Struthio camelus: one gene and its partner. The protein of the gene in region 2 interacts with the protein of the main gene of each other region in a pairwise test. Links are inferred from orthologs where the notes say so. Each region holds a gene or a part of one and is shown on either strand. Other genes may lie near its edges.

Evidence for each region. The genes of interacting proteins can lie anywhere in the genome.
Region 1: the proteins of EHHADH (region 2) and TPP2 interact in binary tests that used the Homo sapiens proteins (3 or more experiments, as listed by UniProt). The two-hybrid records come from large-scale screens. The link is inferred for Struthio camelus from reciprocal best matches to the Homo sapiens genes EHHADH and TPP2.

The regions. Positions count from the first base shown.
Region 1 is NC_090942.1:162,706,249-162,716,944, reverse strand, and holds the start of TPP2 (tripeptidyl-peptidase 2), read left to right. Parts: upstream 1-6,158; 5' UTR 6,159-6,251; coding exon 6,252-6,413; intron 6,414-10,404; coding exon 10,405-10,533; intron 10,534-10,696. UniProt on the Homo sapiens protein: Cytosolic tripeptidyl-peptidase that releases N-terminal tripeptides from polypeptides and is a component of the proteolytic cascade acting downstream of the 26S proteasome in the ubiquitin-proteasome pathway.
Region 2 is NC_090950.1:5,242,237-5,252,602, forward strand, and holds the start of EHHADH (peroxisomal bifunctional enzyme), read left to right. Parts: upstream 1-5,744; 5' UTR 5,745-5,795; coding exon 5,796-5,869; intron 5,870-10,366. UniProt on the Homo sapiens protein: Peroxisomal trifunctional enzyme possessing 2-enoyl-CoA hydratase, 3-hydroxyacyl-CoA dehydrogenase, and delta 3, delta 2-enoyl-CoA isomerase activities. Catalyzes two of the four reactions of the long chain fatty acids peroxisomal beta-oxidation pathway.

The sequences.
Region 1 (10,696 bases), on a different chromosome or scaffold from region 2:
TGGGTACCTTTACGGCTACAATCTGTCTTCCTACCGGCACAGAAGGAAGAGTGATGGCACATACAGCGTATAACCTGGCTGCCATCCTCCTGCCATCATAGCCCTGCTCTTCTGCTAACAAGTCATCCTGCTGCGGCCTTATTAGAGCTCAGGCCTTCTGCTCTTGAAGTAAGCACCACATTCCTCAGCGTTAACCAGTTTGATTGCCGCTAATCACGTCCTCGGTTATCAACAGATGTTGCTCTTTCAACTTTGCTTGGTATTGTTTCTTCTGATACTTTCAGACACATACATTTCCATCCACAATTCATTCTACTCATCTTAATATCTCTGTCACTAATCTCTACACACTGTGCAAGACCAGGACTGGGAAAAAGGCTCAAGTCTGTTTCAAGGTTCGGGGAAACCTGAAAAGCTAGTGAATCTGCACGCTCGGCTCTGGGAATAGCGAGTACATACTTACATCCAGCAATTTCTTTGCTCATTTCTGCAGCAAAGTTCTGTCCTCCTCCGATGAAAGCATGGTTGTCTCAGATTCATATATACTCTTAAACAGAATACATTATCTTCGCTTTGAACGCTTTCCAGTTAGAAAACAGACCATGAAGGTCACATTTGTCAGCTAAGGTATCCTCATTGTTCTGTGTATACCTTTGCAAACCTCAGCCACAAGTTAACCTTGTAATTCTAATTGATTTCTTCGATAGTTTGTCTCGTTTCCCACCTGTGGGGCAAAAATTGCATGTCTAATTTTCACAGAGAAGATAAGTTCCACGGAAGTAACTTTGCGATTGAACACAACTTCCAATAATTCAGGCAACTCCTGAGAAGGAACGCTCATCATAGGGACAGTTGACAACTGCATTTGGCAGTGGTCTTCAAGGCTCTGTGGACTGGAGGTACAATTCTCTCCTTTCTCTCTCTTTATACCAAAGTGAAAAATAGAAATGTGCAAATGATTTTTTAGCTACATTGAAGAGAAAAGGCGAACATGCCATTTTGTTTTGTGCCTTTATTTTCAAGGGAAAAAAAAATTTCAAAAAACAACCCTAGTAGTAATTTTGTCATACATGGCACGCAGAAGACCACTAGATGTACAGTATGAGGTTGAATTGGTACTGTGTTTATCTGCAGCTTTTTGCTGAGGCCAGTTTCTTGCTAAATGAACCCTACCTTCTTAATTTTTCATCTTGAATGAGTTTTAAGTAGCATTATTGAGAAAATGCTTAAACTCACAATGAGCTCTCCATACGGGTACCATTTCAGACTATTTTTTACAATTTAGTACATGAGAACATAGCCTACAACCTTTAGCTGGGCCTCCAGAGTCTCTGCATAGAGAATGGTAGGAATTGATTAAATTTGCCTCAGATAACTCCCAAGGGCGTATTTGAAATATGTTTACATGGGAGAATAATAAAAGCCAGTTGACTAATGATCTTGCTATTCTATATTTAGCAAGGAATGAATCTGGCAAAAAGACCCAACCAGATAAACAACTTAGTAAAGAGAAAACTGGGGATACGTTGTCCAGGAAGGAAGGAAGGGAAGAAGGAAAATTTGGTATCAAAAGTAAGATGGATACATGTTTCTCTCTATGAAGAAGGAATGTCAAAGTGCTCACTGCATAAATCTGATACCTTTGTTCACACAGAATTAATCTGTACTAATCACAGAATAAAAGGAGCGAAATTGAACCATCTCTAAAAATCTTTATGAGCTAGACCCACAGAAAAACTTACAGATTTGTACATACTTAGGCTCTTTGTGGAACCAAAATGCAGATGGGCCCACTGCCAGAGCGCATCCCAGACCTTTGTGCTAGTAGGGCTTTGTGCTAGACCAGGGCTCCCTGTGCCATGGTTCAACAGTTCATCTAATCTAAGATAAATCTGCACTGTCGCTGAAAGGGATGAGCCGTCTCCAGTTGCGCACCAGCACAAGTGTTCAGTAAGTGGCACTGAAACCTGTACCAGGTTCTTGAAAAGGAATCTCTTTTGTGGGATAGTTTTCAGCTAGATTTATTCCTTGATTTGGTGCACCACGCAGACACACAAGCACGAGTGCCTGGGGAAGAAAGAGAGTGTGTGGCCAAGGACAGAGAGTGCAAGGGCGTGGGAAAACGTTCTCTCTGGAGGACCTGTGTTGACTTATGCTTACATGGCACTAAGTAAAGCCCGTGTGAGTGAACAGGGAGCCACATAAGCCAAAAGGAAATGGTAGGAATTAGGTACATTCGGACACTTATGTCTTTCAAGGACCAGCTATCCCCAGAAAAAAACGGGAGTTAGATATCAAGAGTAAACCCTATCTCATAAAGCATGAATAGAAAAAGAGTCTTTTTACCGAACACCTCAGCAATTAATGAACTCGCCCACAATATGGAAGTCCCTCTCCTTCCTGAGGTGATTTGAACAAACATCCCATCTCCCAGTCTGTCAAGCTCATTCTTCTCCTTAGCATGCCACAATGAACAGATCCTATGGGTTAACAACTGGTTGCACAGATAGTGTCGGCAACCGGGTTTCATTTTCTATGACCATGGGACCCTCCTCAAGGATTGACCACTGTTGGGTAGAGCTAGGATCCACCTGACAAAATGGGTAAAAGTATCTTTGCCAACAGGTGGGCCAACCTGTGGAGGACTGATCTCTAAGAGAAATGAGCACCCATGGCTTTCATTGTTTTCAGAGGGATCTGGGCAATACCGTGCATCTTTGAAAATCAGAGTCCCAAGATGTGACAGCAGTTGCTTACTTTGGCTCAGTCCCCAGATTCAGATACGACGAGCTGAAATGGTCCCTAATAAGGAGATGTGAATCTATTTAACATAGCAAATTCACATGAACTGCTATATAAATTTAGATCCTGAGAGAGGCTAAGTCATTATTTTAATGATCAAACCATATTGTCTCAAGAAATTTTACAATAAACTCTTCTTTTGAATTTCCAACATGGCAGCTTTACTTCTGTCTTTATTTTCACTGGAACAGCTATGGTATTACTCAGAACAAAATAAAGCTCTATTTATTACAGTTCAGAAACTTATATACATTAAAGTGCACTAGTGTTGACAGTACATGTTAGCAGTATGACGTAAATATATTACAGAATTATTTTAACAATCTGCATATCCAAACTAAACCTTAGAAATTCAATAAGCTCAGAATTAAATGGTCCTAACTGGAAGACTATTACACATTGATGAGCTAGTGAGTCACCTAACAGTTAACCTGAGCAGGCACCAGCATGAGCTGTGCTGTGCTGTGCTGTGCTATGCTTCACGAATAGCTTGGCCTTGAAGCCCGCTACACTTCAGGCTGCACATATCCTTTGGCTGCAGGATAAACTTTGCTGGCTAATCATAATGGAGGAGCATGTAGCAGCTCCCACTTGGTACTGATGATTACAGCACCTTACGTCCTTGTCTTTATCTTAAAGTGAAGCAGTGAGTTTTCACTTGAACACCCTTTTGTTTGATAGTGGAAATGATGAATAGAATTATTTTCTTCTAAGAAAATCCTGTAAGAGCACTAAAGACTAAAATGTCAGTGAGCCACTTCACAGATGGGATCCCCACTACATGCCACCCCATGCCCTGCCCTGACTAGAGATCTGCCTGATGCTGTGCAACTCAGGGTTCCCAGCATATGAAGGGATGCAAGATTATCTATCCTCTTCTTCCTTCTTTTGTTAGCTCCAATCAATGGCATTTTAAGCAACACTTTACAGAATCTGAGTGCCTTTCTAACTGGGATCATAATGAACATTAGCTTCAGTGCCTTGCACCAGTGCACAAAGGTGCACTCAAAAAATCTCTATATGTTAAGGGCTGCAAATGCTCAGTAAGATAAGCAAATAAGTAAGATGATAGTAAATAAGATAAGTAAATAAGGCTGCGGTCTTAACCTTTTTCTGAAGTCATACCACATAGTAATTGTACTAATATATGAGTATGAGATTTAAAGATTGCAACTGAAATTAAATTGAATTTTCTTTTTTCTTCCAAGGTATTGCCCAAAAGTCTGCTAAAAGACGTTTGGTTTGCTTTCCCCAAATTTTCTGATTCTTCCTGCAGAGCCTGCCCTCCTACTTGGAAGCGCACGTCATATAGATAATTCTACAATTAATGTAACTGTTAATTAGAAATTTGTTTGTGGTATAATTACGACAACACAGCAACAGAACAGAGCAAAAAATTTCAGAGTTAGTAATAAATGTGTTTCAAAATTATAACATACAGATTGTTTATTAAGTGGGATATGAAACATTTTGAGAATTTGATGTCTCAAAATATACTAGCAATAGGATATATTAGACTTTTGTTGATTTAATGTGCTGCCAGAAATACAAACATCTCCCATTACAACATATGCATTAGCAATGATATGCAGAAGCAAAACTAAACTCAAATGAGCAATAACTTAGATACTGCATGAATGAATAATGGCCTTGTCAGAACAATTGTTTCCCTTAAGTATGATCAGTTAAGGTTTTATGTAATTCTAAAAAAATTGAATATGGCTGTCAGACCCCAGCAGGAGTCTAGGAAACAGTCAAGCACATCAGAGCTAGACTTCTAAATGTAAAATTTTTACTTGTGATTGAAAAACAAAGAGGGAAGCAGTAAAATAACTAGTAAAATAAGTACAGTACAGATTTGACTCTCTTTTTTTAGCTATGTATTTTTAACTGTCTGCTCATCAGGTTTTCTGTGGTACTGTAATTGCATATAAGTGCTTCAGACCTCTAAAACCATTGATGGGTTGGAGCCGTTGCCAATGGTAGCCAAAAAATGAGGAAAATGCATAATGTACCACTATCCACTAGCAAAAAACCATTTCTATTAAGAAGGAACAAGTGCCAGACTTAGTTGAAGAAAAATTCATAATGTTCGACATACATTCAGTAATAAAGAAATTTCATCAGACCCAGGAAACAAAAAAGCATTTTACAAACGGAAATATTCTCAAAAGCCAAAATCCCCTTTGCCTTGCAGACAGCGATGAAGAGATTAATGTATCCAAACAAATTTATTTTGCGCAATAAAGCTCTCTGAACAGAAACTTGCCTGAGGAAAGCGCATTGATACTGAAATAACAAGAATGGATGGCACCTTTACTGCCAATTTATATGGCTAAAGCCGGGAGTCAGGCCCTATGAACAAGATTGCTTTTTTTAAGTGCTGTATTTGGTTTCTGAGATTCTACAGTTCATTCAGTTTTTGCTGGCAAGCTTTTCTGCAATCAGGAAAGCGGGACACCGACTTTAAAACCTCTCCTAAAGCTAAGATTTATGACTTATCTCGCCAAACATTTCATTTGGAGCTGTCAATAGCCTGCAGCTAGTCTTGTTTCCCTTAGAACTAAGTAGTTGCACAGGCATTAAATCGCAGCACGCTGTAAATACCGTTTATCCCTCCCACAGTAACGGAGGTAACAGTGCCCCGGGGGGGGGCAGCTCAACCGCATAACGTGTTTTTCGCGTACAAATCAATCAGCAGAAGAGGCAACGTTTGAATATTTATAAGTTTTCATGTTGTTTTTGTTCAGCGGGTGACGGGTACCCTTCGTGCGCCACTACTGGAGTTTCCTCTCAGCGCTGCCTGAGGGATTCCCCCCACGCCGCCCGCCCGCCGCCGCCGGCCCGAGGCTGGGACGGAAAACGGCGCCCGCCCGCGGCGGAGCCGTTTTCCCTGCTTAGGCGAGGCCCGCCCGCTTCGGGAGCAGGGGATTGAGGGCGGCCCAATCAGAGCTGGAGCCCGGCCTGCTCACACGGGAAGATGGCCGTAACCCCCCACCCCGGCCACGGCCGGTGTCCCCGCAGCTCTGCCAGCCATCCGCCACCCGCCTTTGCGCTCCGCTCCGCTCCGCTCCGCTCCCCTCCCCTCCCCACCCCACCCCCGCGTCTCAGGAAGGCAGGGAGGGCGCTGGTCACTTTAAGGGCGCGGCCCCCCCGTTCCTCTCCCGCCTCCCCCGCTCTTCTCCCCCCCTCCCCAGAAGTTCCAGCGCGTGGAGAATTTCCCTTTTCTGATTGGCTGCAGCGCCGCGGGCGGGCGCCAGGACGTTGCGTGGCCTTATTGGCTGGTTTAGGCCCGGTGCGCTCGCGTTCCGGGTCGCGCCAGGGTGCGCCCCTGGGGAGGGGGCGCGCGCATGCGCCCTGGCCTCCCCGCGCCCACTGCCCCCGCCCGCCGGCTGCGCTGTGCTCTCGCGCTGCCTGGCGGCGCGCGGCCCCCGTTTCCCTTTCCCATCATGGCGGCCGCCGTGGAGGAGCCGTTCCCTTTCCACGGCCTCCTGCCCAAGAAGGAGACCGGCGCCGCCGCTTTCCTCGCCCGCTACCCCGACTTCGACGGGCGGGGGGTGCTGTTGGCGGTGCTGGACACCGGCGTGGACCCCGGCGCCCCGGGCATGCAGGTAACGGGCGGTCGCGTGCGGCGGGAGGAGCCGCTTCAGGGCGGCGGCCCTGAGTCACCGCCGACAGGCAGCGGCGGCGCCGCGCCGGGACAGGGTGGCGGGCGGCCGTTGGCTGCGAGCGGGGAGCACGGAGCGGCCGGCCCGGCGGCTGCCGGAGCCCTGGAAGCCGCCGGGGGAGGGGGGGCGGGAGGAAGGAGGTCCCCGCGGAGGGGTCGTGCCGGGACGAGGCGTCTGGCGCCCCCACGGCGGCCGTGAGAGGCTTGCGGTTGTTGTTGTTGTTGTTTTCCTTAGGATTCCCGCTAAGCATTCATGCCCGTGCTGCATTAGTGTGAGCTCCGCGGAGGTCGGCTGTGGGAGAGCGGAGAAAATCCTGTAGATCTGTGTGTTTCCCTTCGGTTATTTGTAGGAGGTTTCTTCTTTTGAGCCTTCCACAGATGCCTTAGGGCACTTAATCCCTTTGGCTGTCTCCTTTTTCGCAGAACCTACTCGAAAAGAGTGCTTCGTATTTTTCTTAAACGTTAGCGTTATTTCAGTAGTAGCAAGGGAGTTCAAACAGCCACTTAAATGTTTTGTATGAAAAATGTGTTTTAGCAAATTTTGCATACCTTTGTTGTCAATGTATTTTTCTTGTATTGCAATCAAATTTTTTATCAGATTTGTATATGCTGACCTTTTTTTACATCTGCTAGCTTTGTCTATAGCTCAGAGTACACCCCATTTGTCATTACAATCTTGATCTCAGGTTTTGTAAAATTCTGTGTAGGTGATTTTTAATTTGGACGTTTCACAGTTTTTCCTTGATTCTTTCAGTATTTGCTTTTTAACATCTTCTTAATTATGCAGTGTATATATGGCCTTTTTTGTTGCTCCTACTTCCAACTTCTCTTCAGCATGTTTTCTGTCAGGATTCGGAGAGGGTTGTATGCAGCTCCCATGGGAACTGCATCCTTTATATAAGCAGGGATTGTGGTGGTTTCTGCTCTTTATTTGGCACTGGTGCAGATTTTACTCTTCAGTGACCTAGCTCAGAGGCCTAACTTTGATCTTTAAGTTCAGCTTTCTGAACTGACTCCTTGTGGGGTTCAGGTAAGTGTTTCACATGTGAAAGCAAAAAATCTGAATCTCTAGGGGTTGCGTATGTGAGGAACAAAGAAAGCATGAGTTTGCACGGTTGAGACTAAGACATGCTATAAAATATTTTAATTATATAGTAATTTCTTTTTTTAAAATTTTGGGGTGAAAACATTCTTTACATCTATAATAAATTCATTACTTAGAAAAAAATCAAATCATACAAAGAAAATTAATATCACTTAATTCTGCCCTCCCTTCCCCCCCGCCCCCAAGATAAAGGACTTCAAGGGAGAGGGGAAGACAAAAAAACAGTTGAACCGTAAGTTTCATTGTACCATTACTACTGGTGGGCAGTGTGCCAAACAATTCATGTCAGCACTGAAAGCTCTATCAGTTACTTTACGCTAAATGACTGTGAATCGGACTGGATCGCTGCCATTAGGAATTGAACCTTAGACCTTTGCACTTGAAACTCAAGTTTCTTGTGTCTGACCTGAAAGACTGATTTGTTGATTCTGATTGCACAGACATGTACGCATGTGGACCTGCTATTCATATAGAGGGTGACGATCTGTACGGTGTAGGAGTTTCACATAAAATTTCTGGCTAGGAAGGAACTTTTAAAGCTACTGAAATTCACTACAGCATAAATCTATGTTCTGGCCACCTGTTGCAGTATGACTCACCAGTGTCAAAGAGGTTGCCTTGGGTTGCAATTCCATTTTTATTTTCTTGCACTTTGATCGCTGAGCAATTTATTACTTTTTTTTTTTAGAGGTATATTGAAAAATGCCCAATTCTGATAATCTCAGGTTTAGCATGCATATAATTTATTATTGGTGGAATCCTCTTTTTGGCGTAACTTCTGTTCAAGGTTACCTGTTAACTTCTCTGTGAGTGAAGACTGGCATCTGAAGGGATTAATTACAGATGATAGAAAATTCTATGGTATAAATGCCTGTGCATGGAGTTTCCCAAGTAAATTTTCACTACTACATAGCTGCTGTTCTTCTAAATGAACGTGAATTTCTGTGAGCAGAGTTAACCGTGTTGATTTCTGCAGTGAAAACTGTTCCATAGCAGGTTTCCTCAAAGCAGTATTTGTTACCTTCTGGAAAACAGAAATTTGTCTCCTGTTTATACTTGTTGCAGTATCTTTTCTTACAGCTATTTAAATTTGGATTTTTCTAAACAATGAAAATTCAAAACCTTGGAGGTATTTGTCTGTATTTGTTGAACTCCAATGTAGGCTTGACCATTGTCTTGTCTTTTTTGGCAGCAACAGAGTGACTTTTATGAAATAACTTAATTATTATCAATTTCTGTGGCTGAACTCACACTTCCAGAACATGATTTGAGCAAACCTATCTGCCATGTGTGTTAGCTGCGAGATCAGCGTTAATGGTAGAGCATAAAGGCAAGAATACCAAGCACTGAAATGCTAGAAAACAGCAAAATTTGCAGCTATTCTGAACACGAATGCTTTTTATTATTATTTTTTTTTTTTTACTTTCAGTATATTGGTGTATAGCAGGTGCTGAGAAGGTGATTTTTTTAATCAACAATCTTTAATATAAAGCTGTGAAAATAATTGCTTACAGCCAATTCATGTTGCACTTCAAGCATCTACTACTTTTTATGGAATGTAGTATGTTTGCTGAGTAAACTGATATGAAATAATAACATGCTTCATCCAGAAGGGATTACGAGAACATAGTAACATTGAATATTTTTTTCTAAATGTGTCAAGACAGTCTTATACTTTTGATAATTGTGCAGAAGGTGCTTCTGTGGAAGGGACTTTGTGTGTCGTTAGTTGTTTTTTGACACCATTAACTGTCCTTTCTCTCTAGGACGTTTTTAGTATGGTCCTTCAGGATTTTACTAGCTGTCATATGTGTTCCATGACATAGCTGTAGCTTTATACTTTATACAGTAGTTTTATTTAGCAGTGCAGATTACTGCTATAGAATAATCTTAAATTTAGGTAACACATTTATTGTTTGGTGCATTTCTTATAGTGCAATTTGTTTTGGTAAACAATTTTTTTCTTAAATTCTTCAAAAATTATATGATATGTCATTCTGCAAGATTGTGCGATATTTTCCTTCTCTTCTGAAGTAGTCTTATACCACTCTGATTTTTCCATTCTTACCCTTCAAAACACTATTATTATCTCTGTCTGTGATTGGGTAGATATGGACTTCTTCCCAGTAGGCCAATGACTGCTGTCAAGACTGTTAGGGCTAGTTTTCATTTAATTTGAGGAGATTTTAAAATTTTGCTCTTCCCAGACAGATACCTTTCCTGTCTCTTCACCCTCCTAAAAGTACTCTTTACACATAGCTCCTAACACTTTGAATTGTTTAAAATATGAAGCAGAATCCTCGTAACAGAAAAATAAGATGACGATATTTTGTGTAACTTTTAGGATTAAACTCAGTTAAGAGGCTCAAACATGTAAGCGCATGTAGTTCAGCAGCTTTCATCTTTCTGGAATTGTGGCATCATTACTGTAAAATTTGGCCAGAGCAGTAGGATGAAAGCAATGTTGTAAATGTTTTGAAAGAAAATTGTAATTTTGCAGACTTAGGGAAAACTTACTGGAAGGTTTGGTTCTAAATATGAGCTTCTGAGCATTATTAATAAATTTTTTTTTTTACTTGTTTCTCTTGTAAGACACTTTTAGAAATGAGTTAATAGTTTATTTAAGGTGAGGAAGATGCACAAGTTCATTAAAAATTTAACTAATTTCAAAGAGCTTTTTATGCCCCTCAGTTAAAGGTAGGGTACTTAAAAAAAAAAAAAAAAAAAAAAATCAACTTACTTTCTTTTATTCACAAAAATGAAAATTTTCCTGGTCTGTATGTTGAAGAATAATTGACTGCATCTTCAAGTATTCTGCTCATATTTTCAGATTACAACTGATGGGAAACCCAAAATAATTGATATAATTGATACAACAGGCAGTGGTGATGTAACTACATGTACTGTAGTAGAACCTAAAGATGGAGAAATTATCGGTCTTTCTGGAAGAACTTTAAAGGTGAGATTTCATATAGTGGCTACTGGGCATCTTTCTTCTCTCTAACAACAGATTTAGCACTAATTTTTGTTCTTGCAGGTTTTTTTTCCTTTTAATGAGTCCCTATCAAACCTAATTCAGCATTTGTTCATCTTCATCCAGATTGCTCTGTTTAATATGAAAT
Region 2 (10,366 bases):
CTTCAAGCCTGATTCCTATATACCTCCAATTATCGGTTGTACAGTTTCATGCTGATGCACTTGCAGTGAAATACTACAATAACGTAATTTGTGATGTTGTCCAGTGTAAACTGGCAAGCGTAGTATAAGCAAACAAACAAAAAAGGCGATCATGCCTGTGTGACAGCAGTTAAGTGCTCATATTTGCTCATATAAAAACAGTTCTGAAACATGCTCCCCAATTTTATTTCTTCCCCTAGTGGAAGTTGTAATGACGGTGTCGATCACATTTTGCATGCTAAGATCACTTGGCTCTCTTGCTTTTTTGTCCTACATAAATCCAACAGGAAGATGCCTCTGCTTGCATAGCAATACCACGGCTTTCCAGGAGGTGTTGCTTTGAAACCATGCAAATATAGCAACGTAAAAATCACAAAAGGAAATGGATTTGGATTATTGAAAATAACTGAAAGTTCTCTTGTTCTGGCAGGGAGAACTTAAAATCTTTCATTTGAAATGATGATTTTTTCGTATGAGGCTCTCACCATCTGAGAATGGCTGTTATGCACAGAGTTATACAGAGGGAAATAAATGCTGAACGTCACCAGTACTATGAGGGGAGAGCTGCCGTCCAGAAAGGCAGCCCCTCCAGCTGGGCAGCTGCCTCGCACTCAGCAGGTCTCAGGTCCTGCATCTCGGGGCCCCAAACGGGGGCCTGTGACTCCATTCCCTGCCCTCGGAGCCTTCGGAGCTGCCAGGAGCCAGGACGCGTGCTTGTGGCAGGCCCAAGACATGCGGGACAGACGTTGCTTCCCACACCACTCCCGGGAGACCAGGGTGGTTTTGCTTTCAGTCAGCCCCAAGGAATCCCCCCTCAGCAATGGCACTCCAAAGAATGGAGTAAAGCCTCAAGGAGACAAGTTGTCCTGGCCTGAAAGCTGTGCCACTATGCTTTCTACACCTGCATAAATGCATTTGAAAAGCAAATGAGGGGCTTGCTTACGAGAAGGTGTACAATATTAGTGACTTACTGGATACGCAACTGTTCTCTACCTATAGCCATAGTTTTAAGTACATATTAATAAATTAAGTGACAAATACTGCATTTAAATGTGCCCAGGCTTTGGTCTAGAAGATGGAACAGGGCGCAAAGTTTCCCAGACCTTTTAAACTCTTTTTGCCGAAGGGAAGATGCCCAAAAGGCATGCCCAGTCAGAATGAAGAGTTTTTAAACAAGTCTTTATCCCATCTAGCGGCTTTTTTTGCTAAAACAACATTGTACAACTGAACAGCATTCTATGACTGAGGCTCTTCAGTGGGATTTTAAACTCTAAGATGGGATGATATTTTACAGCCCACAATATTGCTCTGTAGATGTAGTTACCACACTTACAGAGCTCTAGCCATGCCTTTCAAAGAATTACACATATACCAGCCCCAAGGCAATGAACTCCTCCAACTCACTGAGGATCTGGAAGGCTGGTGTTGGAGAGCGTTTAGAACAGGACCGTACACTTAGCGAAGGAGATCATGGAAGAGTGTGCGCAACCAAAGGAGTCTTTGAAAACTCTTCTATGATCAGCTGTTTACCAGTAACTGGTAAAGTAGAGCAGAGAACTGTGCACAGGATAAAAGATCATAGGGGTGAGGAGATCAATAGCCCTTTTTACACTGAAGAATTAAAAAAAGAAAGCCCCCAAAACTGAGAAAGTTGTTGCTGTAAAAAGGAAAGCAGAAAACAGCTATTGGCAAATTTAGCAGCCCCTCCGAGCCATTTCAACAGAAGGGTGTAATTCAAGCCTGATGTTTAGACCAGCTGCTGTCAAGAAAGAATGAGTTTTCAGAGCTCTTACCCTTCTCAGGAGTGTGACCGCAGGTTTTACTACAACACCTCAGCTCAGATTTTACGATGCAGCTAGTTGGTTCTTCCGTATTCCTAGGAAGCAGTTTTAGTGGAAATAAATACACTATTCTTATAGTTGGAACAACCTCACTGTAAATACTCCTTCTGAAATGCCTTTAGGGTCAGAAATGGACATGCTTGGTTCAACTAGTCTAATAGTCATTTCTCAAGATATACTGGTCCGTGTGAATAAGATTATAGCAAAATGAAGCTGCATCTTCTGAAGTACCTCTGATCAATGATCTGCTGGAAGAAAAATGATCCTGAGCCCCTTGTAAAACGTTTGTGTGTCTCATTCAGTACTTCTGGAGTAAGGCTGATGATCTCAGGAGGCTGTAGGGGACTTAGACTCGTGTTGCTCCTGCTTGGGAAGAAGCGGAGTTCTTTTTCTTCTATCCGCAGCACAAACTGCATATTCATTTAAATTTGTCCTTTGGTGAATACCCCTCATCTCCATTTCTAGTAATGGAGTATGGCTTTTATATTCTCCTCTTGAGAAGCTTTCCGCTTCTCCAGAATTGGAATGGGCACCGGGTATATTTTCTGAGCATTTTCCTCTACTACTTAATGAAAAGACGAGTAATCAAAGGGATGACAAAAGTTAACAACACTCAAAGGACTATCCACAAACTAGCTTGCCGTCTGCTCCTTCATGTTGAAAGAAAGCCCTTGGTTACTCGGGCTTTTACACAGGCTTAAGCTTCTTCCATAACCATAGTTTACTTCTGAAATGGCATCCACTGTCCCAGAGACAGAACAGTGTAGGGCTGGCCTTTAGCAAAGGATGAACAGATGCGAAATTTTAGACAGGCAGTTCTAGCTATATTTCTCTTCCTACAGCAGGATGTCTTTTCTTCTGGTAGGCCTGGGGCTGAGAAGGCTGCCACTCCATCCTCTGATTTTGTAGCCAGCAGGGTTTTTTAGTCAAACTGTCAGCCAATCTGGAGGGCAGAGCCCTGTTCCACACAGTAGGGCCTTGGAAGTAGGAGCAGTTGATACCTCTACAAGCTGTTGGTGAAGTTCTCAAAAACTTCGAGGAAGAAAGCTGACCATCCTGGTTACAATTTGTCAAGGCCAAGTGCACCAACAGGCTCTGCAACCTCTTCCCACCACCTATGGCTGCCTGTACTCAAGGTCAGCTCTGATACAGCACAGTTGGGTAGGCTTGGATCAGATTGCTGTGAAAACAGCTAGGCTGTGAGGAAAAAACAGTAAGTAGCCTTATCTGGGACCCCTACCCTTCGTTGGCTCGGGAGCTGTGTTTAAGCTCAGGTCCTTGCACAACTCAGCACAGAACAGGTTAAAAACTTCACAGAAAGCTCTGAAGACTTTAATCCCTCTGCCATGTGCGTAACCCTTAGTTGTGCATTCACCTTAAATGCCCTTCCATCTCTTATTACCAAGCCCTCTTCATCTTTAAGAAAAAAAGAAGACAAACACAAAGCTTATAACAGTAAGCCTTATTTACTGGAACGTTTTCCTCAATCTGTAAAATCAGTGAGCTGTTTTTTTCTTCATGAGAATTCTTTTCTTTTGTGTTTATTCATGCTCAGAAGGGTGCCCTGTTTTGTCACATCTATGGCAGTTACATTATTAAAAGACAACTCAAATCGACCTGTAAATTATAAACAGAAAGTGCAACTCACCCAAGCGATCTTTTGTTTTCTGCTAGTTAATGAAAAAACAACAGATCAGTTAGCCCCCACAACTCCAAGGCATAGTTTTATGCACTCCCAAAATACACTGCTTTTACCTGCAAATTGCAGAGTATTCTCTCTCCTGTAAAAAACAAAAACAGACTTTTAAATTTTCATGGCTTAACAAATTGCAGAAGAGTTCTAGCGGCTCCACCACAATAGCAATGAAATAAGGAAGGCAGCAGTTGCTGTGAGTGAAGGCTGTATGTTAGCACAGACCTTTCCATACTCCTAAATCTAGTGCTAAAACAATCAGTACCTGTTCCAGAGCTGTTGAGGCAGCTGCAGCCATTCTGCCCAGTGGGTGACTTTTAAAGGCCAAGAAATATAAAATTATATCAAGCAGAGAAGTTCAGTTTCCACAAGCTCATTAGGATAAACTACAGCCCACCCAATAGACTGAGCTGACACCTTGCAACAGCCAGGGACAGAGAGGCCTTGTTGCATACCCATCACTGGGAGAAGCACGTGTGGTTGCTCCGCAGAGCTCACCCTGTGATTCACAGAGATCTGTGGACTGGCGCTGACTTGGCTCTTACTCAGCTCTACAAGCAGATGTTTTTGTAGCATCCTCGTCGTGTCTTTTGTATTGGTTCCTGAACACCTGCATCAGGGATGGTCATGTAACAGCACAACAAGACACCAACAGACGCGTACGAAATGTAGTCGGTTCTTCAACATCCAGGAGTCTTTCCTCTGAAAAACCTTTTCTTTCCCTTAAATTACACGTTAGCCCAAAAGATATATTTATTAGCTTTTCTGTATCAACTAAAAATCATGTGGGTCTTAGTCTCTTGCAGAGTTTTTAACAGCACCAACCCTTGTAACAGAAGTTTTCTATTTAAAAGCAAAGCACCTGTTGCATATCATAAAGCAACAATAATGTGCAGCATGCTTTCCAAACATATGTCAGCACAGGTATGGCAAAGGCTCTGGTTTATGTCAGCATCAGTTGAAATCAAACAACTGTGGCTGTCCTAATTGAGTGTGCATCTACACTGTGACCCTGCCAGGCGTTTAGACTGTGTTTTAGCATGCTATAAAAAATTGCTCTTACAAGACCCTTCATCATTTTCTGGCAATTGCCCCACAACTCAGGCTCTACTAGTTACCTATGTAGTGAAAGTCTGCAGATAAATTATGTCTTAGCAGCCTTTTTTGGTGACTGTAGCACTTCACAGTCTTGGCTCTGGGTCAAAGCCAGCTCAGTTCCCTATGCTCAGTGTTTATGAATCCAACATATGTCTTCTGGGGGCTCTGAATCTCCACAGTAATATAAGAAGGGGCCTGATTGCCAGGACATGAGACCTGCTGAGAGCGGGGTGCCCATCAAGGTGGAGGCGCTGCTTATCTCAATGGTGGCTGCACCTTCATACTCCTGTGAATTACCCTTCTACCGGGACTCCGGATGTGTAGGGACCCATCAGTGCCTTGTCCTTGCCCAACGCAAGGAAAGATGTTCAACAATATGCTTCTCTCCTAAGAGCCCGGGGGGATTTCTCTGTGCTGTGCTTGTACATGGGGTGAAATACATCACTTTGTGTGTATGCACAGTGCTGCTTTGTGATGAAACGGGGATTTATAGTTCAGCAGCTCTGTGCTATGTGTTTTCATACCTCCCGTGCTGAGGGAGGGAAAGTGTGCTCCTTCCAGAAGGCATGTTTGTATCTCACTATTGCGCTGAGGGACTATATATAAAAATAATGTGCAAAGAGACTGAGCATCCATAACTTGTTAGAAACCACTTCTTAACACTAATCACTGCATCTCTTTAGTCTCTGCTTCAGCAGATTCAGCGATTTGTTCCTCCAGACAGGGGAACGTATAGCCATTTCTCATTGATCTCTACCTCGAGAAAGGTCCGTAATTCATTGCCCTTAGCCTGCAGCAGCATGTGGCTCTCTAGGGTTTCTAACGGCAGCAAAAGGAAGACCAAGGATAAGATAACAGGGGCCTGCTGCTGAGTGAGGTGGGCAAACTAGCAATGAAGGCAGAGATGAGACCAGTGTCTTTGTGCACGTGGCCGTCTGTGGGAGCGGGACACACCGCGGCGGGGCAGGCACCGCCGGGGCCGCTCCTCGCCGGGGCCGCTCCTCGCCGGGGCTGCTCCTTGCCGGGGCCCCTCGCTCCCGGGCAGGGTGCCCAGGGCCGCCCCGGGGGCCGGGCCAGGCCGGGCCGGGTGGAGCGGAGCAGAGCAGAGCAGCTCAGTGCTCGCCATGGCACAGTACGTGAGGGGTGCCGCCGCCGTGGCCGTCATCCGCCTCCGAAACCCGCCGGTCAACGCGCTGAGGTAATGGCGGGGCAGGGCCGGGCGGGCTCCCCAGCAGCTGCCGGGGCGGCCCGGGGTCCTCCCCACCTTCCTCCATACCTTCCTGCGCTTTCCTTCCTTTTAACCTCGCTTTCTTCCACCCTTTCCCTACTGACCTGTTGTACAGCCCTTTCTACCGAGCCCAGCGCAAGCTGGTCCTTAACTACATCTGGCCGGGGAGCTCGCTGAAGGTGTTTGGGTTCCTGAGCAAATGCTATCAGCCTGGCTGACTCCCTCAGAAAACTGGCAGCTGCTTTTGAGCTTAAACTTCTCTTTGCAAAAAACATGCCCTGTTTTTCCGTGGCTTCTCTTCTCTTTATTGTAATTTCTATTGATTTATGCAGGAGAGATGTCAGGCTTACCAATGTGTGCTTTCTCTGGTGTCCCCTGGAATCCTTTTTAAAACTTAACACATTTCTCATCACCTGGCAGTCTTTAAGTATGAAGGTGATGCTTCCAGCAAGAAATTACACACCATCATTAGTAGTTGAGCTATTTCATCCCAGAGATCCTTCAGAGCTCCTGGGTGAAAACACCTGGTGCTTTAAGCTTTGTTACTGTTCAGTTTATTTCCCTGTTCCACGTGCTCAGAAGTGCTTGCGCAGCGATTGCAGGCAGGCTGGTGTCTGCACTTCCAAGTGAACACAAGGGTTGAGGCAAAGGACTTTGTAAACAGGCAACGTGGCTGAGCAAGAGGAGCGAGAGCCCCTGGCTGACTGGGCTGCCGTTCAAGGTACGGCAGGAGGTACACGGCCAGAAGTGAGGATGGATTAGTCCACAGTGAGGGCTGTCACACTAGACAGGTAATTTGCTTTTTAAAAATAGTTAAGGAATTGACCTCTAAATGGTGCTCTTGGTCAAGAAAGTCCCCAAGCAATCTCAAATGCAAGCCAGAGAAAAACATAGTCCAACACAGGCCAGAGAAAAACAAACACAAATGTATAGTAGCATCTGAAAGTGTAGTTTCTCATGTGTTTGAAAAGGACATATATGTTATTCTTCTTTAAATAATTTGGTCTAAGGTTTGTGTATTTTTCAGTTCATTTAGCTCTAAGCAGCACACAGACCCTTTGCAAGCAGCTGTGGTTGAGCCGTGTTGTAACAGGCCCCACGGTGTATGCTGATGCTTTTGCAGGAGCCAGAAAATCCACTGAAGTTATGCTCAACTTCTGTACCAGCACACCTGTTAAAAAGAAGCTGAGAGAGACAAGTAAGAGCACGAACAGGAGATACCAGCTGCTGCCACAAGCCATAGCAAGCTGCATTGTTCTGCAATAGCTGCCAATGCTTGCTCTTCTTTTGCAACACGTCTGAAAGAGGAGTAAGATAATTTTCCTGTCCCCTGATAATTATCATGAGAAAACAAACTTGGAGTAACTTAATGAGATTAGATGAACTAGACTTGTAAGGCTCCCAGAAGTGCCAGGTGCAAAGTGTCCCTTGGACCAGCTTGTGCCTAAAAGCTAGGAAAACTAGCTTGACTAGGCTAGGAAAACTTCCAAGCTGTTCCCACAGTGAACTTTTCATCCTTACCATGAAAAGTTCAAACTACAGAACTAAACATAAGCGCTCAGGCATCCTTAACTGTCTCTTTTGAGCAGTCTGTGATAAAACCTAAAGTGCTCTCTTTGCCTTCGAGCACCAGCAGCATGCATCTGCATAACAGCCTCTTAAATACATCTCCCTGCCTCTGTTTCCATTTGCCAAGCTCTTCCTCCTTCCGCCTGCACAGGGCACAGCTCCATGACACTGCAGGCCAAAGTGGGTATGGTCTTGGTCCTGCTCTTTTCCCCTGCCACAGGAGGGAGAAGCTACTTTAGAGCCATTTAAAAGGCCGTTTCCAACGAATGCTGCATCATCACTGCCACCATAGCTATTTTGTGCTGCCCGCACTCTTCTGTTGGCCGACAGCCCCACGGCAAGAGGGCCCTGACAGGCCTGTGTATTTTTCCAGAGTAGACTCGTTCCCTAATGTTGAGCTCCATAGCACCATAACGCAACTTAAGCTGGGGCTGCATCATCCTGGCCATGGTTTCTCGCAGCCTCCGCTGTGCTAGCAGGGACTACGTAGTGAGCCAGTTCGGGGAGATAATGTGCCTAAACACTAGCCTGCTTATTTGCTTTTGCCTTTCCCTCAGTCCAGCTCCGTGTGTCAGCACCCTGTGCTGTTGCACGCATAGCAGTGCAGGCGTGAGGGACAGAGTGGGAAAGGACTAGAAGCTGCAGAGCGTGAATTTAGATCAGGTTAAGCAGCTATGAGACCTAAGCTTGAGACATGCCTCTGGTCTTTGATTGCACCTAAGGGGATAGGACAGAGGGACTTGGCTTGTCCTGGTTGTCTTGTATCAAGAGGTTCCAGCTAACAGCTCCACTGGTCGAGACAGCTAATGCTGGCTGGAATGTGGTGGAGGTACTTCTACCTGAGAGCAAGTAGCTTCAGAAAGAAAACTCAGTTTGCATGGGCTCTTACTTTATTTCTTAATTTATTAAGAAGACCCACTGAATTTGCAAGGAGCAAGCGTGGAGGACACACTGAGCTCAGCCTTAGCTGGGTTTGCATCATTTTGTTTTCTCTTATGTTAGGACCTGTTTCAGTAGGCGTCAGTATTTATCACATACTTGCAGCCAGGCAGCTTTTAGCTGAGACCTTACTGTAGCTAGGAAAGGGAGAGGGCACTTTGTGAGCCACGTCTCCTCCTCCTGCTTCTGTATATGTTGTATACGTTGCTATAGTGGAGTAGGTTTGTGATTGCTATCTGAAATGTTTGCCACTGTAGGTGATAGCAGGCAGTGAAAGGTTCAGGTTGCAACCATGTCCCACCATCCCGACAATTTAATTTCATAACAGGCCCAGATGCTTTTTAAAAGGCTGGTGCGTTTTTCCCACTCTCCTCTGCATCAGCCTCACCTCTCTCTCCCTATGGTACGTGGTGCTCAGTGCTGTCATCCAAGCAAGCGTTCACACCTTCGCATGCAGCCATTAGCACTTTAGAGGCCACTGGTGGGTAGGAATTTGCTCTTTGCCGTCTGACGCCATCTGCGGCCACGTAGGTACCTCACAGACAGCCCTTTCCCAAGCAATGTGTGCTCACTTGTGAGTGCTGTAGCAAATCACCCTCATTTTTCTTCCGTCCTCTCTGCTCCTCTTTAGCTCTGCCTTTGCTCCCCTCCAGAGACTCCCCTTGCCTCCATGGCATGTGCCAAACTTTTTTTTTTTTCCTGAATTTGCAGAGGTTTCATTTTCAGAGATCTGCAGTCCTAAAGCAGTCCTATGAGACCATGGAGCAGAGGGAAGGGATGAGACATCCCTCCAGCCAAAAGGCTGGGAGGGGGATTAAGGTCAAGGTTTACAAAATTGTAGAGAAGGTAGCTAAGTTAAAGGCATAACTGTTATTTACCAAATCCTGTGGTAGTTGATTTGATTAAACTGGTAGGAGATTGGTTTAAAACAGATAATGTATTTCTGTACAGACAGTACAGAGCTTGATGCCACAGGAGCCTGTGGAGGCAGATGGGATCGGCAGATCAGAAAGGGATTAGACAAATTTGTGGACAGCAGGTCCATCCATGGATGCTAAAAAGACTGGATATGATGTACACAGTAACATCCCTAATACAGGGATTGCAGCTGTTGGGGGAATACCAGGGGAAGGGACCAGATTTGCACGTTCTCCATAAATGGCATTTTCTGTTAGAGACAGTGTATTGGAGTCTGACTTCTTCAAAGGTGGCTGAGCTTATTTTCAGGATTCCCTTAAACTGCTTTTTTTAAAAGCAAAGGATGTTCACATTCCCCAATCCTCACTAAAATCCAAAATTGTTATGGTGAATGATAAGACCGTCTTACAAATCCAGCACACTGTCATTGCAATAAGTAGAGTTTTATTCAAAATGGAAATAACCTGGTACGGTCACACGCAGGAATATTCTTTTGTCCTGGGGGGTGCACATCTTATTTAACATCACCTACCATGCATTCCTGAAATACTTATCATTGAATCATCTTGGCATAATCACTTTTCTTGCAGTCAAGATAATATACATGTGGTAGGACTGACTATATAGCAAGGGATTAAGTATTGATTGAAATGCATATAGTGAATTTCTGCATTGTTACTGTTAAATGAATGATACTTCAAGGTAATGAAATACTTATGCAAATTATGGTGACTTTTTTTGTTTCTTTTACACTCTAGCTATTTAAAGTGGTGATATTTTTCTAATTTTACTATCACACATTTTACTATGATGCTTTCTTTGAAAGTTATGTCTTTTAGTACCAGTTGTAATGTATGAGTTAGTTACAAAGCAATAGAGCCTCTGTGTTGGACTGTAACATACATCCTGGGGAAAACATATTCCTTTATCTTATGAGAAGAAGAGGCTGCAAAAAATCTGATGTTGCTTCCTTTTTGTGCCACAAAAAAAGTCTCACTGGGAAAAAGATGTATGGAGGAGGAAGAAATATTTATGCAACAA